Drosophila melanogaster: one gene and its partners. The protein of the gene in region 2 purifies or fractionates together with the protein of the main gene of each other region. This does not show direct contact. Each region holds a gene or a part of one and is shown on either strand. Other genes may lie near its edges.

The links.
Region 1: the proteins of Z600 (region 2) and Apl purify together in Drosophila melanogaster (affinity purification with mass spectrometry, with the first as the bait; one study listed by BioGRID). This does not show direct contact.
Region 3: the proteins of Z600 (region 2) and CycB3 purify together in Drosophila melanogaster (affinity purification with western blotting, with the first as the bait; one study listed by BioGRID). This does not show direct contact.

What each region holds. Positions count from the first base shown.
Region 1 is NT_037436.4:16,593,420-16,600,840, reverse strand, and holds Apl (apollo), read right to left. Parts: upstream 5,422-7,421; 5' UTR 5,308-5,421; coding exon 5,242-5,307; intron 4,755-5,241; coding exon 4,582-4,754; intron 4,523-4,581; coding exon 3,804-4,522; intron 3,748-3,803; coding exon 3,341-3,747; intron 2,815-3,340; coding exon 2,705-2,814; intron 2,646-2,704; coding exon 1,523-2,645; intron 1,398-1,522; coding exon 1,180-1,397; intron 1,101-1,179; coding exon 674-1,100; 3' UTR 382-673; downstream 1-381. Other genes in the region: spd-2 (spindle defective 2), read left to right, coding at 5,875-5,959, 6,021-6,777, 6,839-7,421.
Region 2 is NT_037436.4:15,505,110-15,511,883, reverse strand, and holds Z600 (Z600), read right to left. Parts: upstream 2,824-6,774; 5' UTR 2,761-2,823; coding exon 2,488-2,760; 3' UTR 2,371-2,487; downstream 1-2,370. Other genes in the region: MsrA (methionine sulfoxide reductase A), read right to left, coding at 715-765; gdl (gonadal), read right to left, coding at 1,136-1,279, 1,653-1,947, 2,003-2,148; gdl-ORF39, read right to left, coding at 2,216-2,335; CG7841 (uncharacterized protein), read left to right, coding at 4,034-4,085, 4,318-4,411, 5,539-5,657, 5,736-5,995. UniProt on the Drosophila melanogaster protein: Cell cycle regulator that is involved in modulating and adjusting cell proliferation according to the requirements of the developmental program. Interacts with mitotic Cdk1-cyclin complexes to inhibit mitotic entry at the G2/M transition.
Region 3 is NT_033777.3:24,865,396-24,872,816, forward strand, and holds CycB3 (cyclin B3), read right to left. Parts: upstream 5,422-7,421; 5' UTR 5,134-5,421; coding exon 3,406-5,133; 3' UTR 2,539-3,405; downstream 1-2,538. Other genes in the region: Elal (Elastin-like), read left to right, coding at 1-449, 617-1,131; CG3744 (uncharacterized protein), read right to left, coding at 6,557-6,758, 6,824-7,016, 7,259-7,421. UniProt on the Drosophila melanogaster protein: Cyclins are positive regulatory subunits of the cyclin-dependent kinases (CDKs), and thereby play an essential role in the control of the cell cycle, notably via their destruction during cell division.

The DNA of each region.
Region 1 (7,421 bases), 1.1 Mb from region 2:
GAGGAGGCATTGAATTTCACGGACAAAGCCAACATGGTTGAGCGATTTTTTCAAGCGGGAGGCGTTCAGGTATACCAAGGCTACGTAGACGATTTTCGAAACACGGACAACGCTTGGATGGAAACCACTGCGCTGAACTTCCACGATGAAGACGGGAGCCAGGTGGGACAATTGGAGCTAATGGCCGGTGACGATGCCTCCAATGTGCGCTGGACGGACGTCGACTCGAATCTCAAGCTGCACGCCAATCATGCCGACATAGTCCGTGAGGTTGTCATCCGACGAAATGCACACTGGTAGAAACTAGACTGAAACTATAAGAGTTAAGATCAACTGCCTAATGGTTGAAGAAAAACCAATTTTAAATAATAACATAGCCTTCAATGAAACAAGTAATCCCTATATTATTTCAATGCATATTAATGTCTCACTGGATGTGGTTATAAGTTAGAAAACATTTGCCTCCGTTTTTTGGCGCGTAGAAACCTTCATCTTGCCATTTTAAAGATCGCTCATCTTGAATGATTTAACTCCACAGAAGCACAACTGAAATTTAAGACTATTTCGAAAGTATTCGTATAAAAAGCTTGCATCACTTCCAATAAATGAATCTGCGGGCGGAGGACGTTGGGTGTGCTGAGCTGTTTGGTGGTTTTCACACGGATATGTGGGCTTACAGGGCTTGCACATAATTGAACACTTCTGGATTCATGTTCGATACTTTGCTGAACAGTTCCGGGTAGTTGGCGCGAATCTCTTTGATGAGGGCCACCGCGCTCTCGGTTGTCTCGACGTCAGGCATCTGTCTCTTGTAACTCGCCTCTATGGTGATGGCCAGGATTTGCTCAAGATGTGCCTCAATGCTGGGGCGGGCCTTCAAGTATAGCACACGGAACGCCTTCTGAATCACATCGTTCTCCACGGTGTCATCCTTCAGTGGCAAATGGTTGAGCCACACGGGCAGCACCTGGCCAAGCGGCACTGAATCTGGGTTGGTAACTATGAGACGAGCAACTGCTCCGCAAATGTTGTCCATGGCGGCAGGAACGGATTCCCTGACAATTGCTTCGGAAAGGGCTTGCAAAATTGTCGGATAAGACCTATGGATGCAAAAAAAAAACAAAAAACATATACATCAAAACTAGATTCTGCAGAAAAGTTCATTTCCGGGAAACCCACTCGAATGATTTTTCCTCGGAATGGAAGACAATTTCGCCTAGTGCAAAATAGGAGTTCTGTCGCGCTTTGGCATCAGAATCCCTGGAACCGGCGATAAAAATGGGACGTAGGGCATCGAAATAAGTAGCACAGCAACCTTTTAACGCCTTGCAGCAGTCAGCAAGTGCGCCATAGATGTATGCCCGCTGTTCTGGTAAATCGCGCTCCTTTACCTTCGCCTGAAACGAAATAATTGAATTTCAGTAAGCCGTTCGGAATATCGATGGTTGTATGAATTATTGCCAAGAGAAGATCGACCTCTCTCCTTTGCCACATCATGTTCGGTATTTCGTGCAAAACCTACCAGCCTTTGAATATAGAAATGGTAAAGGCGTCCAAAATAAAGCGAGAACAGCTCCGGCTGAAGGGTTAAGCCAAACATGGGGAACAGATTGGCAGCGTTCTCGAACAGCATCTCGTCGTTCTCGCTTTCCTCCGAACACTCATCATCTCCGCCGCCGCTCTCCTCGTTAAACTGACAGGCCATTTTATTTGTGAAGATGTCCCTGATGCAACCGAATATAAGTTCGGCGTGCTCCTGGCTGTTTATCGCCGGCACGTACTTGAAGACATCGTAGAGGACGTCAAGCATGCGGAGTACGACCGCAACCTGGTCGTCGGTGCGCATTATATGTGCAAACTTTGGAATGGCAATCTCGCAGGCGCGCTTCAGGCCGGCGGCATCATCCAACTTGTGGAGAGCCGTAATGAACGAGCAAATGGAGTCAATACATGCCATACGAACGTCGCCTTGCGGATGATCAATCATCTTGTAGACGTTCTCGAATGCAGATTGCAAATAGGGCGCGAAGGCGGCGCCGGTATGGGTAGCAAACTCCTTGAGTGACAGAATGGCCTCCTCCTTTTCGACGATATAATCATTCTCCACCGGGTAAGCGTCTTGGTCATCTTCGTCGTCTGTGTGCTCTAAATCAATCTCTATGTCGGGGGCATCTACTAGGGCCAAATCATCGTCCGCATTGTCCGACACATTTGGCACCATGTCCTCCGAAAAAATCACAGACTCCATTATGCGATCAATGAACTTGGGGAACACACTGGCCATGCTCTCGTTGACAACTGATGACAGGGAGGACATCAGGTTGTATATACTCCTGCGGTACTCGGGATCATCCGGACCGTCTTCCAGCATCATCAGGCAGAAGTTCATTGTATCGTCGGCAAGAGGAATAATATTATCCTTGCCCAATTCGCGACACAGCGCGGCCAGAGTGTCGATAGCTTGGATGCGCTGACTGTACATTTCTTTTGGGCAATCCTTCACCAGACAGCCCTGTAGTACGGTCATGATCCTGGGGAAATATGGCATCAGGTTTTCCTTAGCTGCTGCTGACACCGCTGCTATGGCCGACAAAGCCATTTCACGCATTTGATTTGAGTTCTGCGGTTCCATAACCCCAAACAGACTGCACAATAAGTTTATCAGGGAGTGGACTCATATTTCCGTAGTATAGTCTAGTCTTACCGATCCATAAGTGTGGGTAAATAAGGAACAATATCCTCATCCAGATTCTCGCAAAAGGTCTCCAGGGCATAAAACATACGATCCATATGTTTCGAATCCGGCTCACCAACCTGAAAGAAAATACATTTAGTATGTTTCTGCCAAACAATTTGTTGGCTTTGTTGGTGCAAAACGGAATGCAGTCCTCAAAAAACGTGAAAAGAACCCCATTTGAAGACACCTTCTTTATGTAACCGACGAACTTATTACTCATTTAAATAACAATTAAGAAACGAGTCAATGAACATTTAACATACGCCAAAAAGTTAAATAAACCAGTGCGAAATGATATATCTACAACAGAGCTCTTAATGTAATCAATCTGGCAAACTATTCAACAAATTTTAGGTGTTTGATGTGCAATCAAGTACATAGTAAACAGTAAGACATCGAAAAAGCACCCTATATTTGGCGAGGACCGATCTTCGCTTGATCTGTATCTTGTCTAAGTACATTATGGAATCTTTGGCAGGTACGGAATCGAGATTTGGCCCATTGCTGTTATGGCCAGCCTTTAGAAGCAGCACAAACAAATAAACGAGAATGTAAAATATACAAATTCCAAGTTGGTCGAAGATGGCCACAATGATTACCTACCTTGAGTTCCAGTACCAGCTGGTTTAGATAGTCGAACAACACGGGTAGAATTTGGGGAGCAAACTTGCAGATCGTCGGCTGAAGAAACTCGGAAAACTGACCGAGGGCGAAGAATGCGGCGGTCCGCACGAACATAACAGAGTCCAACACTCCAGCTTTGATGATATTTAGCATGACCTCGAGATACTTTTTCCCAATGGCCTCGGAACAGCCCTCGGCAATAACGCCCATGCAAATAAAAGAGGAACGGCGAAGCACAGGTTCCGGGCTCTGCAACGCAGGCTCCAGCAAATCCAGTAGTGGCGGAATAAACTTGTCCGGCACCATGTGAAGGGCCATCAGGTCCAGTGTCTGCGCAGCTGCATTGGATGGACTACTCAGGCTCTCCGAGGAAAAGTAATCATCGTCTAGAATAGGAATAGGGTTAGCAAGCATGGCAACAGAAATATAAAGGAGCAGTTACCACCTTCCTCGAGGTCGTCCTGGCAAATCACTTCGAAAAGAACAGATAGTGTGGGCTGTAGTAGTTTCTGCTTCATAATAATTTTCTTCTTGAGGCGAACTAGGCTGCCTACAAAGGTAAGCACCTGAACCCGAATCGAAGCGTCGAACTGCTTGTTTCTCGCAATCATCAGACAAAACTCCAGAAGCAGCTTCACATTACCGGTCAGCAAGTGGGGCACATGCTCGGCCATGCTGTCGATGATATCAAAGGCACCCATGAACTCAATACTGTACCCCTTTTCGACAAAGGCGGCCAGGGCCTTGAGTATGAGCGGCACAGCCTTAACCACAATCTGCTCAGCATTACTATGTCCACTTACGAAAGGCAACAAGAAGCATGAACCGGTCAGCATGTTATGCACGGTGGGTGTGGCCATGTTCCCATTCGCCTCGGCGGTAACTAGAATGCCGGCAAGCAATGGGAACATAGTATCCGTGTGGTCCGAAAACTGATCGGGAGCAGCGTCCATGAGCGAGGAAAAGATTGAGCTGCCCCGCTCGCTTTCTATTGGATCGGGGCTGCTGCAACGTTCGTAAATAAACTTCAGTATTTCCTCCCTCCAGGAGTTTTGCTCGCCCTCCTCGTGGCGCACCAGCGATCCAATTATAAAGGCCACCGTGCCCTTCACGGTCTTTTCCTTCACCGCGATGAGGACCTGTAGCATGTTCGATTTGATTCTAAAAAACATGCATCCGTTACTGTATCATAGTCATTAAAAGGTAACCAGTTAACTCACGCTGCCTGGTGCTCGGCGGGAACCAACTGCCAGTGGCGTAACTTTTTGACCCGCCTCTTGAGGAGCACGGCGGCGACCTGCCGCTCTTGGACCGGCCTGTCCGACATCACGATCTGGGTGAGAACCAGCAGAGAATCGGGATTCTCGTAGGCCTTTAGCATCTTGGCTGTGGACTAAGGAAGCGAAAGAAATGGAACTTTATTAGCGACTTTTATGGCCCTATGCTATCATGCTATCAACATAAGTAATTTTTCAATTAGGAAGCGACGAAGTGTGCGTCCATTCGAGCAATGTAATGGTATATCCACGAGTTTAATGCAAATAAAAATATAATATTAATTAATTATTATTAATTATAATTATTTTTATAATTTTTATAATAATTTTTTTTAATAATTATTATAATTATTATTTATATATAAATAATTATTTCTAAAAAAGTGCAATAGTTTTCGGAAGTTTGTTCTGATCAAATAGAACATTAAACATTAAATTAAAAAAAAAAAAAATATTATACACCTATTTTTACAGCTAAGTGTGGATTCAACTTAACTGATCAGACAAACGTGAAGCAGTCAGAAAGGAAAGCATACATGAAAGACATCCATTGGCGCCCAGGATAACCTCCTTTCTTATTGCCGGATGGCCCGCTTTGCTCACCTCACGGATTCGTTCCGTGTCTATGGTCAGGATCCCGTTGATTATATCCAGAATAGCTGCCTCCATTTTTGGGGAGTTACTGTTCGCGCCCAGGCGGATAATCCAATGCAATCCGGTACAAATTGCAGACGACGTTACGCGGTATTGAGAATTGAAAAGTGGAATACCGGGGAGAAATCCCCGTCGCACGTTTTGCGCTTGTTGCAGTTTACAGTTTATCGTAAGCTTATTTTACATTCTACTCTTGAATTGGCTAGCGGTTATCATTGCGGTTTAACGAGTGGGGATGTAACGTAAATTTATCTCGCGCAGTTAATTGGTGACTTGTGTTAACATTTTTCTTTAATATATGTATTTATGTTTTTTTGTTTATTATATATGTGTATTTATGTTTTTTTGTTTATTGTGGAGTTTTGATATATGCGCTAGCAGCAGTGATGCAGTAGAATACTAAAAATATTTACATTTTTGACATTTGATCGACCGGACAAGTAAGCAAAGGCCGCTTCGACACTAGTATGCAGCCCTGGATCTTTTATCATTTATCGACGTCCATTTTTGATCGAAGCGACGCGCCTTTTTTTTGTTTTCGCGTTCGCACTGCAAACTGTAACTGTTTAAGGACAAAGCGGAATGGACAGTAGCAGTGGAAGCCAAGGAAATGGCAGTTTCATGGACCAGAACTCGCTGGGCATCCTGAACATGGACAATCTAAAGGGTAAGCAGGTGGAGCACGCCGGAAATAAGCCGAAGCAGCAAGTAATCCTCATTCCCTACAGTCTTCGGCGACTTGTCCAGCTTCAGCAAAAGTGGAAGGAGGAGCGGCACTGGTCGGGACTCTCCCGCCGTCCACGAGCGGCTCCGAGAAGAACGACTGCGTGCGCTGGAGACACTGGAAAAGCCCCGACCGTCGCGTTCCAGCCAAGCAAAGAGCACTGCCCTCCAGATGCGCTTGTCCACAAACATCTCGGAGCTGGTAACAGACGACACCATCGATCTGAACAGCAGCAGCTCCTTTGCTTTGGTCACGCCCGCCACCAAGGGCACAAACATCTCTTTTGAGCCTGCGGAGATCACCGGCAGGTCCACACTCTGCCAGGCGGGAAAACAGCGCCGCAGGGAGAAGCCATCCCTGTCGGTGGCCGAAATTCTAAAGTCATCCTTCGTTGAGAAGGCTCGCCTGTTGGAAAGGAAGCTGCAGGATGCCAGTCAGGCGGAGGCCAGCTATCACTTATCACGTGGCAGCTCCAGCAGCCTCTCAGATTCATTCAACTGCTCGCGCAGCTTACCGCGCACTGCGGACATGAGTGAACTGAGTCTTAACGGAGGTGGGGGATTTTCCTTTGGATCTGCCTCGTTGGCGGCGGAAGGCCAGGATGAGAGCTTTGCTCCCGCCGAGCTAATGCAGTCCAAATTGGTGCTCGGTGAAATCTCCTGGGCGCAGGAGTTCACGGCCATGCCGACGGCCACGTTGAGCACACAGGCGTTGAAGAAGATTGCCGCACCAACATCCGAGATAGAAACCTCGGTGTCCAAGTAAGCAACATAAAATAGTCTTCCAAATATAATTTGATCAACTTTCAACTTTTATTTACAGTTCTGTCTTGGCCGGAGATCCAGACTTTTCGCTGGGCAACTACTTCCAGACGCGTTCGGAAAATATATGGAACATTGTGAGCAATAGCAGCCCGAATCGTTCGCGAACCAACCAACCGCTATTGGAACCAGAAAGTAACGTGACACTGGATTCGGTTGGCGAGAAGACCCCACAGCCAGACAATAAAACATACACTAAAACGGATGCCATAACTGGCTCGAATCTCGGACGCAATCTTATGCGTAAGATGCAACAGGATCGGATTGAAACTGCGCTAAAGAGCAGGAATGGTCTGGCAGCCAAAGAGACCAAGCGTCCGCCGTCGAGCTCCGAGATCCTAAGTCTCTCCGCGATCGACAAGGCGCTAAGGGACATAGATCTCAATTCGGATACATCCACTGTAGAGGTTGTCAACCACCTGTGGGAGCATGGTCGTGGAAACAATTATGACGATGGGGAAAACAAGGAGAACCAGAGCAGCAACTCCCATGCGGAGCGCACTTCGTGCGGCTCCAACAAGCTTACCGACACCATGAGTTTCACGGACTCTGTGCTAAACTCAACGGATTTTCGTCATTTGCAG
Region 2 (6,774 bases):
CTCTTTTCGGTTTTCGCTCTGTTCGCCTTGCACTTGCAGCTGTCGAACAGCTGATTGAAAATACTATCTCTCTCGCACACACTATTGCAAAATCAATTTCAAAATCAAGGTCAATGGAAAAACTGATTTAAAGAAAGTAAAAGTCGTTGGCTAACAGCGCTTCACTTCGCACAGCAAACAACTAAATTAATCCTAGCTTAAATCACTTTTAAAACCATTTAAATATGCGGTTTTAGGTGAGCAAAACTCGCCTTGAAATTACGAAACAGTCGCGAAAACATTATTATGTGTAAACTGCTCAACTGTTGGGAAGCAACTGAACCTGGCCAAAACAAACCGAATTCCTCTAGCCAACAAAAAGGTGCTCACATGAGCTTTAATTATTCTGAACATTAGATGTCGGAAACTGGCTTTTATGACTAAGCACATCAAAGTTTTGGCCACCCGGCCTTGGGGGTTCAAGAAACTTTAAGACTCTTCACAAATTACTTATGTCTTGTACATCAAATAATTTAATTGCATATATTTGTTTATTTATATTTGTACACTGTTTAAAGGTGTATTAAAGTCACGATTCGGCAAAAAAAAATTTAAAATATATTTCATTAGCTATCATAGCATTTTTTAATTTACATTTAAGCTCGAATTAAACCGCAGGACATTTGAAATCACTAGTCACAGGATTAGGCACCAATCACTAGACCAATTACTTACCAGATCCTTGAGCTCAGGATGAGTGACACTGGAAGTAATAGTCAGAGACATGATTTCACTAGTTAAAATTGTTATTTATTTAATGTGTCGCTTTTAACATTTAAAGCTGAACTGATGCATCTGCAGAAAGGTCGGTCCAATTTATACTGCCGCCTCTCCCGCTTTCTACGCGAATGTGGAGAGTGCCGCGCTATCGTTATCAATTCTCCCGCTCTTCAGTCTTCTGGCGGCCGGCCCCGTCTCTTTCTCCCTCTCCCGATTCTACGCTGATTAAAACTGCGCAGCGCTACAGGTTTCTTGGGGCCACAATTGATCGTACAGCTGGGACATTTGATCAGGGTTATAATTTAATTGCCTTTAATATTCTAATTTGAACAAGTCAAGTGCAGTCTTTTGTGTTCTCCGGATTGTGGACTAACTGTTATTTGCCGGGCTCGTATTTTAGCCGGCTCAAACGCAAAATGAAGTCCAACAGGAACATTTGTATTTTTATCTCCTTGGGATTCTCGGTGACATAGAAGCCGGGAACGCCGGCCTTTTGAAGTGTGGATTGTTGGTCATTAACCTGCGTAATGATATTAGATATTAGTTCAACATCAAGAAAAAACAAAGAAAGTTAAAGTAGTAAAATCTAATTTCGTATTCCCATATAAGCATTTAAAGTTATGATTAGAAATAATTTGTATTACAAAAGAAAATATCTTTAGTGATAATTTCATTTCAATTATAAGAATCTGCAGATAAATATATACCTAAAATATACCTAATCTATAGATCCATCCATAATCAAACTATGTATCATATTTGAATTTAATTTTAAATAGGATTAGGATTATCTAAGTTTGAGATTCGACTATTGTTTTTAAAGAAATTTGGATGGTAAGACCAACTAAAAGTGCGTGGAATGGAACGACTCAAAAGGATATTGAATTCTTCACCTTTTGATCTAGTATTTCGATAATCTTCGTATCCGACTCGTGTAGTTTCTTAGTGTGCTTTATTTTCATGAGTCCCAAAATGTGGCGCAACTCCTCGGGATCCTTGATCTTGCTCCTCCACTCGGCCACTTCTATTTCATACTCGTTCTCCGCCTGCATCCGTATTTTAATTAAGTGTCTTTCGGTTTCGTGTTGCAGCTCCATTAATGCTTTTACTATTACAAAAATGCCATCGTTTAGCACACAATTGGCGAGTTCGGTGAGTAGATCGTAGGAAATGCGTGTCTGCAAGTTTCTGTTAATCAAAAATGGCGTTAAATATTTAAATAAACTAAATATCAAGGACTTACTCGGGAAGTTCCGAATGGTAAGTTCGCAATTGGTCCACCAAAAAATAGATTTTGCGTTGTAAAAACTCCGGAGTTGGCTGCTGATACTCCACTACTGCCTCACTAGTGTTCGCACTACCTTCGCTGGTTGCCGGTATGTCCGCCATCTTAACTAAATTGTGATTTCCTATTTATTTACAATAATTTGTGTAATATTCCCAAGTATTTGTGTTTTTAGTGATGTTTTGTGCAACCGCACTCCAATTTCGCCTCTTCGCCGCACGAACAGCTGAGCGCCAGGGCTGCAAACTGCAGCAGCAGCAGTGTGACCACAATCAGTTTGGCTGCCCACATAACGGTAAGTCAGAGAAAGACGCGGAAAGTAAAATGTTTCAAAAGTATTTATATATATTTTTGTTGTATCAGAGCGTGAAAAGAATTGTGACTGTACGATTTGAAATCAATGATGCTTATGACTAAGGTGATTACATCGGTTCGTATTATGATTAGAAGTTCAAAGATTTGCGAGCCTTGATGAAATTCTTATCAGCCTCGTAAGTGTACATGCGATTCAGTTTGTTTTTGCGGCGCTTTTTGAGTTCGGTTTGGAACTTTCCGTGTCCTGAGCTGCTGGGGGTGGCTGGTACCAGGGAATACTTCTTGCTGTCCAGGGAGTAGCACTCGCGTTTTCCGAACTCATGCTGCTCCTTTGGGGTTTCCACGATTTTCAGGCTGTTCAGGCGCTGCAGCACTTGGTTGGTTTCATTTGTCGACGACATAATAACTGCTAGGCTGGCTGATCAGGAAGTTAATGTGAAGCTTGACGTTGCTGATTTGCTACTGATTTCCTTTTGCCCACGGCCTTCTTTATATCCACTTGAGTGTGCAATTTCAGGACTGCCATAAATATCTGCGCGGAAAATACAGCTTATCCGTTTTCCACATCTGTCACTTTTATGGTGCTACCTGCTCATAATTAAAATTTCCGCAGAAAATTCTCGCTAATCCCTTTTTAATGCGTTCAGAATTACGCGAGCAGGTAGTAATGGGTTTTAGTCTACCGCCATAAAGTCCGCCTTTTACAAATCGCAATAAATTAGAAAGGAATTCGTAACAATTTCCAAATTTGGTGTTTAAAGTGCATAACTTTTTAATGGAGTATATTAATTTCTTACTTTATAGATAATAATTCCTTAAAGATAATATAAAAATATAATTTATTGGATCTCCAAATGCTTTCAATTATATTGGATCTCTAAATGCTTTCAATAATCCAATCTTTTAAATGTAGCCTCTAATCAATTAATACGCTTTTAAAAAAACGCGCGCAGGTGAAAGAACCCACTGCCGTTTTAAAGTGTGTACATACTGGCGAAATCATATGGTGGGCATACACGTGTATCGGTTGTACAGTTTATGCGTTAATCGACTTCGCGAACTACGAAACCTAAAGCTGATTGCTATTATAAAATAAAGACTTTACTAAACAATTGATAGTGCCCATTATAGTTGAAAGCCTAAAGAAATAAACGCTTATCAAATAAAATCACTGCCGTGGGTTACTGCCATGAAGAAATTATGATCTGCTGAAAGTCGAGTTGTCTGCCGCATGAACGCCCTAACATACGGCTCTTTGCGGGTGTCTCTCTTAACATTTCGTTATGCGATTTGAATGGGGCAGTTGCATTGGAGCCTCGTCCGCCGAACACAGAACATTACAAACGCGTTTCCAGGAGTAATTGTCGGTGATTTTAATCGAAAACAATTGATACGAGCGCGGTGCGGCAGCCATCAAAATCAAAGAGTGCTAAATCGGAATCACTGCCCTAAGTGAAGTGTATTGTGTAACCTTTTGAGACGATGACAATAGGCCAAAAGGAGGCGGCGTGGGGCAGGCTGGGCTGCCAATGATCATATGATTGCCTAGAGCGGAAAAATACTCAAAATCATAGCAGTCGGCTAGGCATTTCGTTGCCAGAAACGAAAACAACAATACGTAAATCGAAAGGACAAGGTATATTTTCAGCCGGTACTCCCCATCTCCCCACCACCATGTACACAATCAACAAGGGACCTAGCAAAATTGTTGCTAAAACGCGTCGCGGTGAGTCCAAAATATTGATAGTAATAATGGTTAATAATGCCACAATAGACCCTTTCAAGAGAACAGCTGTTATGTCACAAAAACATACTCTTTTCCTTTCTCTCTCTCTCTCTCTCTATATATCTGCCTCTGCCTCTCTTGCTCTCTGGCTCTGTTAACTTTTTGTTTTGCCGGCGTTTTCCACAGTAAATGCGTATTTTATAGCTTTCCATGGCATGTTTTCCATCCGCAGGCCTGGCACCAAATTTTGAAAAATTCGAAAGCATCAAGGAGAGCGGCCGCAAGAACGCTAGTTTCGATCTGAACAGTCCCGAGGAGCACAAAAAGTAAGAATGCCATGCTCATATGTAACCATACCCAAATCTTGGGTGCTTATGCAAACGGATGGCACATGGTGAAATGTGGAAAGCGGGAAAAGTGACGGGGGAAAACGCGGACTGGGGTTCAAGACCCTCGTCTTATCGCACTGACATTTTATCGCAAGAATCCGTGGCGACCTAGCACAGTAATGCTAATTGCTCCCGAGCAAGTAGTCTTATTCTCGCTAGGGGAGACCCATTGGAAACACGTGGGTCAGGCGTCGGTTATCGGCTCCATTTTAATTTAAATGCCCATTGAGGCCATTGAGGCATTGACTTTTCCACGTCCGTTACGTCACGGCTCCAACGTAACTTCGCGGCAATGCTCGGCACAGGTTGTGCCAAAACAAGGCTGATTAATTTACTTATTTTACCTGGAAGGGTGTGGAGTTATTCCGAATGTCTAACTGCAATCGAAACATGTAACTTCAGAGTAGAGTACTTATAGGTAATTGAAGAGTGTATCTCATTTCTTGTTTATTTTTATGCCTTTTATATCAACTGTATTACGCTTGCTGTTAAAAGTATCTTATGGATGCGAGTTTTCTAGAATTTCCCATAGCCATTTCAGCTGAAATCTGAAAAGTTCTCTATATAAATATTAACTTTATAAACTCCCAATTGTATTTAATTTCTTGCGATTGCTTTTATTTTTAGAACTTCAAGATAAAAATTACCTAACCCTTTGCCGAAATACTATTATCTAAATTAATAAACCACAAATCCTTGTCAGTCAATGGGATGGCACTGTTTACTATCTGCCACTGTAGATAGCTTATCAGTACTCATTGCTCTTATGAGTATATATTGAGTTTGTAATTTTTTCATCGATATGTAATTTTAACATTTAAAAGCCAAAATAATGTAATCGACGAACTGCAGCGCCTTTCTCGAATTAAAATGCATTTAGCGTTCCTCGAACTGAGTAGCAAGCTGTCGAACCCAAGTTACCCCACCTCGTTCTCCAAGTGATTTATTTTCGTAGTCCACATGTTTGGTGGAATCTGTGTGGTTTGCATAAGTGCCTTTTCATTGAAATTCAAGAACATTGTTATTAAAATTGTATGCATATTTCCTGATTTTTAAAAAAACAGCATACCGCGTCCGGTGTTTCAACAGAGCTTCGCCACCAAGCGGATAACGCCAACCAAACTGATCGAGGATGAGGTGATAACGCCGCAACATGAGGAAATAATACGTTACATAAATGACTGTAAGTCGGAAATATGATTGTAAAGATGTACTTATAAGTATTTAATAAATGTGGTTTACTTTTGTTACTTTTTGGCAGCCTGGAACATGCTGGTGGCGCAGAATCCCTACGACTCGAGCTCATCCGCCAAGCCTGTTGAGAAACCTGTAGCGGATGCCAACAACAACAGCGCCGCCAGTCCAGTGGAAAGCATAATGGCCAACAGCCCAGTGCCCGCTGCCTCGACAGCCACTGTCTGGGTGGAGCCACCGAGTCCAGCGCTACAGGACTTCAAGCCCTTCGACCTGGAGTCGTGGTGGGGACGTCGCCTCTTCCAGAACATAACCAAAAGCCTGTAGGACCGATCGCATGGGATCGAATGAGTGGCAGAGCCTGATCTTTGTCAATTCCTAGATAGTCAGTGCTTCCTTCTGTGCATGTACGTTCGACTGGACATGGGCAAAATCACACTAGATGATAGTGGGCGAAACGAGATGTGACGAGAGACTTGCTTAGTTTTCGGCTAGCGACTAAGTAAATATCACTTTGGATGTTAGTGGTTGGGAGGCCACCGTGGTGGCAAATCTTGGCATAGGTTCATCTCGCATATAAGTGTGTATATGAAGTAAATTGAGAGTCGTCGCCGTTGGCCAATGTAAATAATACGATTTCTGATTTACAATTAAGAATGTGTTATAGAGTTATAAGAAACGTGTCATCTGGATGGCTTGCCATTTTTTTTTTAATGTCAACAACACTCATGTGAATTGTATAAAGTATAAGGTTCAAACTAACATCAATTTAATTGCAACCGATTTTGGTTTTACTTAATTCTGTAAATGCCGATTCCAGTTTAAATATTTGCCTGTACATACTAAAATAATTGGATTTTATTACGTCAACTCTAGTTAAGATTTAGAAATATCCAAAAAAGGAATTGGTTGAGCCGATTTCTCACCACTGGCGTTGCCTGTATTTAGTTTCTCACTATAAAACGATTTATGTTTAGCATAAATAAAATTAAAATCAACAAAATTATATTCGCTTTTAACAGAAATATTTTAAAAGTTTAATTAATGGGGGGAAAGGGAATGCGAGAATTTACTTTGTGTGATGCGTAACAATGAATGGAGATTAC
Region 3 (7,421 bases), on a different chromosome or scaffold from region 2:
CGCCGCTCTGGCCCTCATCCAGATAGCCAGCGGTCAGGCCTCGCAATTCAGCAGGGACGAAAGTCAGGAGGATCAGAAGACGGAGTTTAACCTGGCCTCCACTCTGACGGGAGGCATTACCAGCAGTCGCCATCGCCAGCGGGCCAATCTCAATTCGCAACTTTATCCTGGCCTTGGTCAGCTGGGATCGGGTTATGCGGGCGCAACTGGATCCATCGACGATGCCCATGGCCATGAGCAGGGTGGCTCTGGCGTACGAGTGGCCAGTACGAACTCCGTTGTTTTTCCTGGCAACCAGTCACCAAATCCGGCACTCACAATTACAGGAGGTCACCAGATTCCCGCTTATCCGCCTCCGGGTTTTCCTGGACAACAGGCTCCAGTTCCGTACCCAGCTGCAGGAGGCTCTTCAGGAGGATCCTCATCATCCGGTGGTTACCAAAGTGCAGGTAGGTCCTTCTAATAGGTGGTTCATTTATCTTAGTGAAATCAGAAAACTAATATCAAGTCTTAACTCCCAAAAAAGTTATACAAAATTTAAAAGATTGGTGAATAGCAAATCCACATTTTGAAATATATATGAAATTATGATATTAATGAAATGTCCCCTTTTTAGGTGCTGTTTCTCCTCCTGGCTATCCTGTTGCTGGAGCAGTTCCTGCTCAGTATCCGGTGGGAGTTCCTCCCCAGCAGCCAGTGGGTGCAGGAGCACCTGGTTACTTCCCGGGAACTGGTGCCTATCCTGGCTATCCCTACCCCGGAGTATACTTGCCACAGTACCCAGCGTACCCTCAACCAGCCCAGTTCCCCGCCTATGGAGTGCTACCCGGAGCTGTGGCTCAACCAGGAGTTCCTGGAGTAGCTGGAGTTCCGGGAGCACCTGGAGTGGCAGGAGTGCCCGGAGCAGCTGGTCAGGCTCCTGCCACCAGCGGCATGAACTATCATCGCTATCCGGCTCACAATCCCGCTGATCCGAGCCATTGGGACCATCATTTCTCGATGAACACCGAGTACAAGGAGGATGGCGTCCACAAGGGACCATTTGGAGTGCTGAACAATCACAATGCCTTTGGCTATGGCAGTGGATATGGGGGCGGATACAACGGTGCCTTCAACTCGCCGGCCTACTGAAGCTGGCCGACATCATGGGTGGACCTCGGTGGTGGTGGTAGTGGTAATGGTGTTGGTGGGGCGTGAAGTAATCCGAGTCGTAGTCATAACTTCGCTGCTGCCTCCTTGGCCAGAGGCAGCTGTCTTTGCCTATCATCCTGTGTGTCCCTGCGAAATAAACTTGATTTCTGCACACCCAACCAAGATAATTAGCAATGCTGGCCAGTTACCAGTTGCACCTTGAACCGGAAAAAATAAAGCACATGCACTCGGCATTCTGCTCCCATACAGACAGCTAACCCAAGACATTCACATCCCATCCTTATTCTTTTCCTTATTCTTATGGCAATGCCGCTTCTTTTATCCGGCGTGGACACAATCGAAGACGACAGGAGCTACCTGGCTGGCAGGCAGCCGAAAAAAAGGGAACGCACAAAGGCAGGACTCTGGGCGAGCCAAAGGTGGTGGTAGAAAATCAGCGTCAGAGAGAGACGCTGTTACTGGTATTGGTACTCCTGGTGCCCTTCGCTGGACCCAACTGCAGCGACATAAATCGGCTGGGTTTCGCTGTGCAGCGGAAAAGAGAGGGCCGAAGGAAAGGAAAGGAACCCAACCAAGGGACGACGTCTTGATGTCTTGCGGCGCATGCGCAGCCTGCCGCGCAAATCCTTAACAAATTTTTGGCGCTAAAATGACGGACGAGCGCGCCAAAAGCAAGGAACCGCAGGAAACTCGAGAGAATCATGCCCGGGGTATACAGACTACGAGTATACAGACAGACACTTACACTCATGGATTATGAATGATTTGGACGGACGGTATCGGTGGTTTTTACCTGTAGCAAATCGAACCGATTCCAGCCAGGGTTTGATGTCCTTAGGTCATCAGCCATCAGCTGTTCTATGATGAGCGCGGAGAAAGGAGCACAGATTCAGCTGAGAGGATTCGAAACAAAGGAATTAGAATGGGTGGGGTAATGGGTATACTCACGGCAAAGAAGTCTAGATGTGCTAAACGTTTTCCCTTAACCTTTGACATCTAGGAGTTTATGCTCTGTTTCTAACAATTAAAGATTGAACTGCAACAAATACATACATTCCAGATTCTAGGAAATTGAAAATAATGCCCTAAATTATTTAATCCCCTAGGAACTAGGATCATTTCCAACATGCTGGATAAAGACAGCTAATTTAAAATACTTATTTAAAGTAAACATAAACACTAATGATACTACAATTGCATTCAACTAGTTATATCTGAGTTAATACTCACCCGATTTTGAAACTTCCATCAGGTTTTTAAAAGAGTTTTCTAGAAAGAAAAATAAAAATACGAATTTATTGCACTTACCCTATTAAAAGTAAGAATTTTTTCACTTCGCCCACCGTTTTCCGAATGTAATGATGGTAAAAAGATTGAAGTATTTTTGAACGGACGTAAAAATGTTTATTGGTATTCTCTCGCAAAACGATACATACATAACACTGAGTACATACATAACTAGTTACTTCAACAATGCAACGTTATCAACCATCCATGGATAAACGAGGTGAACTGAGGCAGGGCGGGGCGGGGCGGTATGATCAGGAACTGGGAAGTTGATGGTGAGCGTCCTTCGAGGGGCGGGAATGTGAGCGCAAGGAGGGGAGTCCATGAACGACTTAACAAATAACAGCATTAATAACGACGACAGGAACAGATGCACATGGCGTACATGGCGTGCACGGGACGAGGGTTGATCGCAGCGCATTTCCAGGTTGTACGGGACACACGTGCCTTTCATAGTCGCTTCGTATCCTTGCGTTTGTGTATCTGTGTAGAATAAGTTAGTGGGGATCCGTGTCTGCTTTGGTGGCTTACGAGTTAGGTTTATTTAATGCTGGCATCTCTTAAGACTAACGTACATATTAAAACATGAATCGTTTTGGGATTTTTTGGGTGGGGGTGCTAAAGATAATGTCGCCTTTCGAGTTTAGATTGATTGTGTTCGGCTACGTATGCGGTATGTGGGAAAATTAAACAATAATACATGGCAAAAAGAAACAAAAGCACTCTTAACATAATATTTATGCAAAAAACATGTCAATAATGCGAAGGTCACAATAATAATTAAAATATAATAAATTGCGAGGACTTGACGGGAACACTAGGTAAGGGGTAAAATCAGGGGTTTTTAGATTAAGGCGGGGATCCGCTGTTTCGTCGGGATGGGGCTAATATTGGGAATAGAAGCGTCTTAGAGCCTAAGTGAAGCGTATCGTATCATGTTGAATTTGGCTAAACTTTGAGGCTGTCCTACGACAGATTGCTTTCGTTCAGGTCAAGGTTGCCCTGGAAGAGCTCCTGGTTCGTCAGCAGCGGCACCTTGGCCACCTCGTGGAATATTTTGTGCGAGTACTTGTTCCGTATCGTCTTGATGGTGGCCCGTGGCTTGCGATGCAGTCCTGCATTGAGCGCGGTCACAATTTCAGCAAAGTCCGCCAATTGATAGCCGGTGTAGTAGATAAGCGTCGATGTCCACGTCTGCTTGTCCAGCTGCCCCGGACCGCCGTGCATACGCAGTGCCATGAACAGTGCGGCCGAAGCCATCTGCGAGTCACTGAACGAAATATTGGCGTAATCCATGAGCGACAATTCCAGGATGTATCGAGCCAGGGTCAGCGTGGGCATAGGCACCTTGGCGCATCGGGCATAGCGGCGCAGGAAACGGTACGAGAGCGGGATGCCCAGATCGTACTTGATAACGCGCAGCGTCTCCCGCTCCATTCGCACCAGCTCGTCGTGATTATAAGCACCATCGCAGATATACAAAAAATCCTCTATAAGCGGCGGCTGTCGCTCATCGTACTTGCAGGCAATAAAGAAGGCAGCGGCGCCCAGAAGTTGCAGCTTCTCTTTGTTGATCACCTCGCGGCAGAGATACAGATCGACGATCTTAACCGCTAGGTACAGAGTCTCGTGGTTCAGCTCGAACGTTTCCTGCACCTCCACCATCCAGTCGACCAACAGGGTGCGCATCCAGGTGGTCAGATGGATCTGCCTGGGCATATAGTCGGCAATGGGGAATTCCGCTTCGCGCACTTTGAGGTAGTTGAATATATCCATGGCGTAGTGGGACACCTGGAAGGGATCGTCCCAGTTCTTGCGGTCGAAGTCCTCTACTTCCTCGGGCACTGGCGGAATGGGCACCACCTGGCTTGGAGCAGTCTCTGGGAGTGTCAGCAACAGCGGCTGTGGCTGCTGCTCAGTCTTTTGCTGCAACTTGGCGGAGCGACGTCGCGCCGCCTCAAAGTTTCCAGACAGCCGCATGGAGTCGCAACTGGAGACATCCTCCAGCGCGGACATGTACAGGCTGTCCTCAGTCTTGTTGAAGTCATTGGAGATCCGACGAACTGGCTTGACGGCGGCAACCTGGGGAGCAGCCAGATTGTGCGTGGGCGGCAGTAAAACGGGAATCTGCATAGGATTTGGCATGGCCGGTAGCTGAACCTCCCCCAAAACGGTCTTTTTTGCGGCAGGCACTGCCTTGGGGCGCGGTTTGGGCCTGGCCAACGCCTCTTCCAGCTTATCGAGCACTTTGTGGCAGTTCTCCACCGAATCCTCCACTTTACTGGAGGCGCGCGTAGTCATCTTACTGGCGCCAAAGACATTTACGCTGAGATTCTCCTGTTTCTTAGCATCCATCAGGGCCTGCAGCTGCTGGGCCGTTGGCTTTTTGCCCACGCCCGACTGCTCCTCATCCTGTGCCGGATGCAGTGTCATGATCTTAACATTGTTGGTCAGGTTACCCAGCGCCGAGCGCTTGATTTTGTCATTTTTAATTGGACTGTGGTCGGCCTTGCGTTTGGCGCGCGTCTGCATATTCTCCACATTCGGATCGATGTTTCCCGTGGCAGCCGCCCTCCGAGTCAGTCCCTTCCTAGTGGCAGCTCCCAGGGCTCCCAGGATGGGATTCACTGCCTGCTGCAGCTGATGATGCCCGCTTGTGATGGCCGCGCGCGTTGTTGCTTTTGTGGGCGCCATTTTGAATGCGTGTTTGCGTGTGAGCGCACTCGTCGTTTGTTGTTTGTGTTCTTGTGCGCGGCGCCTGGAGTCCTCGTCTCCTCCACTTCCACTTGGTTTCAGCAAGATCCTCGCTAGCGGATTCCTTGCAGAATGTGGTCTTTGTGTTGGCTAGAACTTGAGTCGTTCGCTACTGCCGATATTGTCGACTCGATCAAGCCTAGACATTCACACAAACTCACAATATAATTCCGGATCGAGTTTTGTGGAGTTATGGCGCTTGGCCGGAGGGATAGAGAGCACTGAGTAAAAAATCAAAAAAACACCGCCAGATGCCAGATGCAGATGCGGCCTGCAGTGTGACCGTACCGCGGCGTTCGGTCGCCTAACGGAAATCGACTGGAATACACCTCTGTGGTGAAGGTAGGCATTGGGGGTAGTCTTCCAGAGCGCGGCTAATTTAAATGTCTGAAGTTCAAAACATGTGAATTGAACTATTTGGGCAGTTTGCTTAAATATGCAATTGCAAATTTATGGAACTAAGAAACTCATCAAAGTAGCCTCGAGCAGCTGACAGAAAGGAATTTGTTTAAATATATTTATTTAATTAATTGAACAGTGCCCAAAAATCCCCATCAATCCAAACAAGAGAGAAAAGTAAAACACCTGCTTTTACACACAACTGTTTATTTAAATGTTAAACAAAATATATGTATATATACGTTTGCTTGTATCAGTTGTAAAACTAATGATTATATATAGGCATAATTAATATTAAATTTAATTCAGTTTTTGTTGCTTCAGCCAAACGCGGGTTTCTAAGAACTCAATCAAGTATGCATACGACTTGCGTCAGGTTTATCGAAGAGATATATAATATATATATATATATATATATATATGCATGCGTAGAACTAACATTAATTGATGGCCTGCCCCAAAGGCATGACAAGTTTAAGGTTTTTTTTTTCCGTTTCTGTGGAAAACACGCATACAGTCACTCATACTCGTACATACGCACTAAAACACAACTTATAATTACTGATAGGAAAAATGTACATTTGCGGATATCAAACACAATTAAAACATAGTTAAGAGTATATGACGTGTGTTGTAGAACATTAAGTATAAATTAATTACAATAAGCTGCTTGGTCTTGATCTGAAGTCTAATATTGGGTGGCAGGTAAACTTTCATTCATTCAACTTTCCATTATACTTACAACTGCGTACGTTTATAAATTAAGTATGCTAAAAATATGATACAAATTTCGTTTTCTCTCATTTTCTTTATCGAATAAAAACAATAGTTCGAACAACAAAAATTCAAATAAAAACAAAGACAATGATGTAAAAAACTATTGCAAAGGGACGAGGGCGTGGGGCGGGTCTAGTTTTACTGCCTAAGCAGGCGATCTTGTTTCGGCTGTTGACATTTACGAATCTCATAAGTTTTGCAAGAATGACAGTAATTTAGTTTCGTAGTTTTTATTCGATTCCAGATTACGCAACGAATGCCGCTCCTCGGGGAACAGATGCACCTCGTACGGCTTGTTTGCCTTGTTCAAAGCACTGATCAGACGCGAGGTGTGGCAGAAGTGCACGTTCTCGTCGATCAGGCCGTGTATGAGCAGCAGGCGTTTGTCCCTGAACAAAAGAAAACATGAATGTTTCGAAAATTTGACAATTTAAGAACCAGCTTAAGAACTCACTCTTCGGGAAAAGAGTTTACGTATTCGAGCACCGAACCGGCTGAGTAACCGGCCTCGTTATTTTGCGGCATATCCATGTATCGTTCCGTGTAGCCCGTATCGTAATACTCCCAGTTGGTGACCGGCGCTCCGGCAATGGCCACTTTAAAGATTTTCGGATACTGAACCAGGCCCATCAGGCTAAGATAGCCCCCTGTTGAAATGACAACCATATGGAAATTATTGCAATGCCTTTACCTTTACCCAGTTCCCTCAATTGAAAGTAACCATTATAGTGCATTAATTTAACGTTCATAAACCGATAAGGCATCTTCATTCTGTCTGTGTACTTGCAAGTTCAGAATGACTTGCTTGTTGATTAGATTAAATAGTATGCAGAGTTGTGGGAAATACCCCACTATAACAATGTCAATCACCTATCTCGAGATAACTTACCGTATGACCACCCGTGAATGGCCACGCGATCCATGTCAATGTAGCCCAACTGGTCAGACAAGCTCCGCAGCGCATCCACCTGATCCGTCAGCTCCACCTGACCCATCCGACCACGGATGTGACTTTCGAATCGCTTGCCTCGATGCCGCGATCCTCGAGAGTC